Linked DNA regions of Ovis aries. The protein of the gene in region 1 binds, or shares a complex with, the protein of each later gene. Links are inferred from orthologs where the notes say so. Each region holds a gene or a part of one and is shown on either strand. Other genes may lie near its edges.

Region 1 (3,653 bases):
TTCCCAATCACTCTCTACATCATTTTTGACATGAAACATTTACAGAAAACTATTCGGCCCTCCCTATAACCTGCTCTGTCATTCCCTCCAAACCCCAAGATAGTAAGACAAATCTGCCATATGTGTTTCATCATAGCTTTATGTCTATATCTCATATTTCATATTATGGATATATGTGGATTTTTCTCCTTGAGAAATTTCTACTCTACTTTTGTCCTTCCCCACCTCTCCCCTTCTGAAAAAAATACAACCAATAAGGAGGCTCACTCTTCAAGTTTTAGGGACACTGCAAATTCATGTTTGGTCCTTGCTTTGTAAAGGAAGAGTGAAAACAAGGAATCAATTTAAAAATTCAATTTTCTAACACCAAGTACTTGGCCAGAAGTGGACCGCTGGAACATTAACACCTGCAATATCACAAACAACAGGCTAAACTTGGATCCTGAAATCATATGACAAAAACCATAGTTTATGGTTATAAACTATCTTTCATTGAATACTTACTTTTTCAGTCTATGAAGAGACAATTTAGCATCACACAATATATAATCTTGGATGAAGACTGATGGATCAAAAGCATCATTATATTGAACAACATACCTTATCATATGGCAAAAGGCCTTTCAAAGGAAAACGGAGAGTTGCAGGGTCCAATTTCCATGAATTACAAATGGCTCCTGAATTATTTACAACTGGTAGAAGGCTGCAACGGCCTGTAGGTATTACAAAAAATGCTTTCTAAATAAATGTGAACATAGCAATGCCTAGTCCTTCATTCACTCTACAAATAGTTAATGACTATCATGCTGAACCAGGCACTGGTTAAAAATATATTTTAATTAGCTAGAAGTCTGGGAATTTTCTTTGAATATTTTTAGCCCAGCTGGTTAAAGACCAATTTGTACAAAACTTCCAAACTCACAGATTTTGCATTTGTCCAGGGACAGAGTTCAGCAAGCTACAAGCCATGAACCAAATCCACCTGCTCTCGTTAAGTTTTACTGGAACGCTATTCCTTTTGCTCTCTAATGGCAGAGTTGAGTAGCTGTAAGAATGCATAGCCCACAATGCCAAAATATCTGTCGTGTCACCATTTATAGAAAAAGTTTACAGACCTTTAATCTCAGGTCAAACTAAGTAACTTTAAACAGGATGTTCCTAGAGGCCTTAGAAGTAGTATATGACCATTAGTCAGTTCATGTATCCAAATGCCTGATAAATACTGTCACTGGGATGTCCTGCAGGCACCTTAAGTTCAATATAACATAAACTAAATTCATCCTCACTCTTCTCAAATCTGCACCACTTTCCATAATTCATCAAATGATGTTAATATCCTCTCAGTTATGAAAGCTAAAAGCCTAAGAATTATCAGTCTAGTGTCCTTTTCATTTCTTTTTTGTATTTCCAGTGCCCAGAATAGCACTTGACTCACAGAAAGTGCTAAAACTTGGTCACTGATTAAATAAGGGTCTATAATCCCAGGCTGTTCTGAGGCTACCATGATTTCTATAAGTAATTCAGGAACATACATATGAGAACTGTAAAAACTGTAAATCATGTGATTATTTTTAAAAGGAAATTCAGAGACTTTAATAAACATGAAACAAGTGGAAAACAAAATAAATTATATACAGAGCAAAGGTGTGGCCTGGAATGGGCTGGGAGTCAGACAATGTGGTGTACTAAAGTCAGAGAGACAGATCTACTGAGACTTCTGGGTGCCTGGGGAGTAGAGTTTTATCTATAGAGTATAAAAGCTCCTAGGTTATACTAAAATGGCAAGTCACCACGACGTGTATAAGATTTCATCCGTCAACTTGGTTCAGTAGTCAGCTCACTAAAAAATATTTAAAACATTTTAAATTATAATCCTACCACAAATGGAGTTTATCCTTGCTGTTGGCCTGAAGGTATCCACAAAGTCTGATACCAGGTTTCCAAGTAACTAAAACAAAATAAAATGAAAACAAGTAAGTAGAAAAATAAAATCAAGATGCTCTGAATATGAGAATCATTTACATAAAATGAGATAATATATAAAGATTTAGTACAATTCCTGGCACATAAAACTACTCAAAGTTAGTCCTCTTTCACTTCCTCCTAAACAATTACTTACCAGTACATTTATCCCTGAATTAAGCCAGGTCATACCACCATGTCCTTAGCTATTTGATGAAGCTGTGTGTATTTTACGAAATGATATATATAAACTATCTCAACAGGACAGCAGAGAAATGAAAGAAATGCATCATAAAAAAAAAATATCACATATTATCTAAGGATCAAGTGACCATTAAAAAATAAAAAAAAAAAAAAATAAGCACACAAAAAATCAATTAATATAATAATTTTTAATACAAATTTCTATTTAAAAATTTAACAAAACATCAAATTTACCCAATGTGGAAGTTTTCCCTCAGGATATAGTTTCCTGATCTCTGTGACTGCAAAATATGCTGGTAGTAAACAAGCATTTCTTTCCAAGATATATGCTATAACCTAGGGGAAAAAAAAGGGGGCTATGTTATTATTTTGAATAGTCCCACAGATGTGCCCTTTAAATCCAACAACAATGATATTTAAAAAGTAGAGATATTATTTCATGCATTCAGTTGGCTTAAATATAGCATAAGAATTCATTTAAATGTGAATATCTAAAAATGAAGATTAATACAATGATTGCTGATAGTAAATAACAGACCAGATTCCTGATAGTAAGTAACATTGAACACGCATTAGATATTGGTAGACTTCCCTGTTGGATCAGGTGGTAAAGAATCCACCTGAAATGCAGGAGACCAAAGTTCGATCCCTGGGTCGGGAAGATTCCCTAGAGAAGAGAATGGTAACCCACTCCAGTATTCTTGCCTAGAGAATCCTATGGACAGGGGAGCCTGGCAGGTTATAGTCCATAGGGTCACAAAGAGTCAGAAACGACTGAGTGACTAACACCAACTGGAAGGCAACACACTAAACAATTCCTGCAACATTAGGTACAAAGCACAAAGATCTTTAAAGTGGCCCATAGGACAACATCTTATAATGGTTGTAGATATAATAATATCAATATTGTTGTTTTCATAATTAAAAACTATGAATTAAAATGTAAAATTTCCTTTTGAAATACAGTGGAAGTGAAATAATACCTTTAAAATATGATTTTTGTAGAAGTAAAGAAATGGAACATTTTATAAACTACTGTAAATTTTAAAAGCATGGAACTATAAAACTAGACATCTTTAGGAGATGATCAATGAATTGCAGGCAAGTTTAAATTACCTCTCTTGCTGCCAGAAGCTGCTGTACAACAGCTGAGCTCACTGTATTGGGAATTGTCAAGATTTTCTCCAAAATCACTTTTAACAGATCTCGAACACCCTGATACAACAAAAAGTCATAGATTAAATTTTTTTAAAGTCCTGGGTGCTGGTTAAAATGGCTAAAGCTTTCAAGATTATATACTTAGAAAAATATGTAACCCTCAAAGTCACACTTTTAATTTTTCTGAACCAAAGCTAACATTCAAACCCCTAACATTAACCCAAGAGAAGTGTCATGTTCCAAAGCAGAATTCTATCTAAAGAATGGCTTGCCATATGAATGAACAAAGGAAATCACTTATAGATAAAAATTAAACTTTCCACATTCCG
Region 2 (3,653 bases), on another chromosome or scaffold:
CAGAGGCCGCAGTACAGCGCAGCAGCCAGTGGAGGGCGCTGAGCAGGGCCCGGCACAGCCCGATGCACTCCTCCGCTTTGCCGTGACAGCTACCAGGAAAGGATGCAAAATCTGTCTCCGCTCCAAAGGCTGAAATCCGACCCACACCCATGTTCCCCAGAGTGCCTGGCCCTCCCTTACTAGGGAAGAGACTTGGGAAGCTAGCAAAGTCCTGGGGAAGACTGCCCTGTCGGCTTCTACTGGATAAGATTTCAAATGAGCTACTCCAAATAGAGCAGAGGCATTTTAGCCCTAAGAGAATAAGTAGAAAAAGACGGGGATGGGTGGGTGCAGAAGAGCAAGGCGGGGACAAGTGTGGGAACCCACAGAGATGGTTTGAGCCTGCGTGCCAGGAGCTTCTCCTCTACACTCAGTTAATGCTGGAAGGTTGCAAGCCCCTCGCTCCTGCCGTTACCTCAGTCGGTCACAAAACATGTCCATGATATCCAGCAAAGCCTGGACACACAGGTCCCGGGAAAAGTCATCGAACTGTGGAGAGAACAAAGGCGATGCGATGGAGTGTCCCGCTCACCCCACCTCCCCGTCTCCCACATGAGGCAGCTGGCACCTTCAGGAGCCCTGCTCATCTTTCCTCCAACCCCAAGATTCACACTCGGCATCCTTTCAGTGTTGGAAATTGGCTCCTAGTTGCCAGCCCCCACTTGCCATGATCCCCCACTCTCTCATGGAAGGCGGCCATACCAGCCAGAGGTACGCTGTGCTCATGGTCCAGGCCCAGAGGTCACATGATCGGAGCAGTCAAGGAGGTGGGCCCCCATGTGTCACCACCGTATCTCTGTCCCCTGCCCCCCATCCAGGCTGTGAGTGGCTGTGGTCGTACCTTGCTGATAGCTGTGAGAACGGAGGAGTAGGACACCATCTGGAGGGAAAGAAGAAAGATAAAGTTCAGACAACCAGTGTGTGCAATCGAGAGGAACAAACATTGACACTTAGAGTTGCTGCAGCTATCTGAAAATCTCAACCCCTTCAAGAGGCCTTCAAGCCCCAAAGACAGGCAGTAACACCAGGCATTGTGCCCATCCTTGCTTCTGTCAAATTCACTGTGACTGACAGCACCAGCATAAATGGGGGGATCATTTGGGGATTCAAAGGGGCCGTGTTTCATGCCTGCCTGCCGCTCACTGTTCACCACATAGCACAAGGTCTGATTGCTGGTGGGCAGAAGAATGGAAACACGTGAGGTCGTGATACTGCTATAACTCCAACCAAGAGTGATTTTATTTGGACAAGAACTGGAGACATACAAACTGTTCCCTCAATGAACAGGTAGCATTTACACTTTGAAATTGGTAGTGGAAATTTCATTACACACACTCATTCTCTAGGATGCCTCTGGGACATCACCCAAAGCTGAAATCCTCCTCAGTGCTCTAAAGTCAAAGTGAAGTCGCTCAGTCGTGTCCGACTCTTTGCAACCCTGTGGACTGTAGCCCACCAAGCTCCCCTGTCCATGGGATTCTCCAGGCAAGAGTACTGGAGTGGGTTGCCATGTCCTTCTCCAGGGGATCTTCCCGACCCAGGGATCGAACCCAGGTCTCCCACAGTGCAGGCAGACGCTTTAACCTCTGGCTCTAAGCAATCCCCTTAGACCTGTCATGACACCATGGACACCTGATGCCCACCAAACTAGAAGCTCCTTGAGGACAGTCTGTGTGTCTTCATTCTACAGTGTCTGCAGAATGAAAGTAGAAACACACCCTCAGAGCAATATTTCCCAAAGTAGCTTCCAAAGCTGCACTGTCCAGTAGGGAAGCCACCAGCCAGCCACACTTGGCTGTTTAAATTAATTAAATAACATTACAGATGCAATTCCTTAGTCATACTAGCCTCATTCCAGGTGCTCATCAGCCACATGGGGCTAGTGGCTACTGTACTGGACAGTGCAGATATAGAACATTTTTTTTAGTATTTTTATTTATTTGGCTGCACTCGGTAGAATATTTTTATCATTGTAGAAAGTTCTATTGGCAGATGTTGCTCCAAAGGGTCCTCAAGATGTTAAGAAATTTTATACATGCACACACATACACAGAGCTTCTGTGTGATATGAGTTTGAGAAACTCTGAAATAAACATATACAAAGAGCTAGCTTTAAAGAAAAGGGTTCTTTCAGTAAAGAGCTTTCTTTATTGTAGGACTCCTCTTACCCATTAGTGTAACTTGTACACAATAAAAATCTCTAAGATCACTGGAGATGAGGCAAGCAATACTTTTCCAACTTATTTGACCAAGGTATCTCATTTAACAGAACTGCAAGGCATATTTTGCAAAATGCCACCTGAACAGTGAGCTCCCTGAGAATAGAAACGGTGTTAAATTTATGTTTCCCAAGAACTTAGCCCAAGGACTATCACAGAGTAGGTCCTCAGGAAGTTTTTATTGCTTTCGATTGACGAATTCTAGTAACTAGCATTCTAAAAAAACTTTTACCTTAACACAATTTTCTATTAGTAAAACCGACTTATCACCATTATAAGATCGGAGATGTAGTTCAAAAGAAATAATCTGGCCTGAATTAAACCAAACTTTACCAATAGCTTTTAAGTTGTTGTATTTTAAAAAAATAATTATAGCATGCTGATCAAATATGAATAAGACTACAGAAAATAGTTCCAACTCTACACTCAAAGTCAGTGGCAAAATATATCAAAATAAAAAGCAGAATACAATGATAGAAACTGTCAGGCTAATCACCTGCCTCATAGAAGAAGAGAAATTTCCAAAGATTTAAAAGAAAGCTAAGTCACCCTCAGTGACTCAGTATGGTGAATTTTACATGCTTGGCAATGCCTCCCATGTATAATTTCTCCATCACGTGAACAGGCTGCTCTCCGTTCAGACATTTTTTAACCAGTATTCTTGGATGAAGAGAAGCAAAACACACAGAAGACTTAAACACACAAATTACTGTTTAGTGCCACTCTCAGTGGGTCATGCTGTGAAGCCATAGTTGGTGTCTGACAGTGGCCAGAAAGTTGGGAGCCTGCCTGGGCAGGATGACTGTAACGTTCCAGGCGAGTGTTTGTTTATTTATAACTGATGTCCCCATAGCAAGAGCTTGGCAGTGAACTGAACCTTGCTGGATACCAACCTGAAGGGGGAGCTGGACATTCCCACTGGAAACTGACCCCAAACTACAAGAGGAAACCCCCAAATCTGTACGTTTAAGGGATGCCATCAGTTACTACCAATTTATGGTCTCCAAATTGAGAATTTTGTTCCGTAAATTTCTGCTAACAGTATCAAGAGAGCCCTGCTACTTCAGAGACCTAAAAATACTTTCCACATGGTGAACTGTTTTTCACAGCAGGACTTATAACCTATCCCAGTCCTAATATATCTACCAACACAGAAGCTCTAACCTACCACCAGCCCCCAAGGCTGGAGCCCATCTACAAGGCCCAGAGCACACCTGGCCGGCCCAGAGGGACCCTGCAGCTGCTCTCTAATCCCCTCTCTCTTCTTCATATTCAACGCCCTCAACTGCTCCTAAGTGCCCTCTACATGCAGAGATAGCACTGGACCAAAGAGCCTCTTGACTCTGAGGGGAGAATAAATCACTAATTTTGCACTGCACTTTGTAAGTCAGGGAG

What was found. Proteins that work in one complex are often made in the same cells at the same time.
Region 2: the proteins of MED23 (region 1) and MED24 are in contact, whole or in part, in a cryo-EM structure (PDB 7EMF), measured with the Homo sapiens proteins. The link is inferred for Ovis aries from reciprocal best matches to the Homo sapiens genes MED23 and MED24. Residues at the interface, in NP_004821.2 of Homo sapiens: Asn150, Thr151, Val152, Ser153, Ser154, Glu193, Gly194, Leu196, Pro197, Trp199, Leu201, Gly202, Asn203, Ser206, Asp207, Asp210, Arg213, Tyr258, Asp259, Lys260, Phe263, Ser1133, Arg1139, Ser1176, Glu1180, Glu1182, Trp1183, Val1184, Tyr1186, Arg1189; in NP_055630.2 of Homo sapiens: Lys238, Thr239, Leu280, Leu283, Lys287, Val291, Glu295, Cys336, Glu339, Phe340, Lys343, Leu344, Thr345, Pro346, Leu347, Asp349, Lys350, Gln353, Lys384, Glu720, Lys721, Trp723, Thr756, Arg757, Lys758, Glu759, His760, Met802, Asp803, Pro804.

Annotation. Positions count from the first base shown.
Region 1 is NC_056061.1:57,041,154-57,044,806, forward strand, and holds part of MED23 (mediator of RNA polymerase II transcription subunit 23), read right to left. Parts: intron 3,382-3,653; coding exon 3,283-3,381; intron 2,503-3,282; coding exon 2,401-2,502; intron 1,949-2,400; coding exon 1,879-1,948; intron 714-1,878; coding exon 601-713; intron 1-600. UniProt on the Homo sapiens protein: Required for transcriptional activation subsequent to the assembly of the pre-initiation complex. Component of the Mediator complex, a coactivator involved in the regulated transcription of nearly all RNA polymerase II-dependent genes.
Region 2 is NC_056064.1:40,098,317-40,101,969, forward strand, and holds part of MED24 (mediator of RNA polymerase II transcription subunit 24), read right to left. Parts: intron 920-3,653; coding exon 881-919; intron 529-880; coding exon 455-528; intron 90-454; coding exon 1-89. UniProt on the Homo sapiens protein: Component of the Mediator complex, a coactivator involved in the regulated transcription of nearly all RNA polymerase II-dependent genes.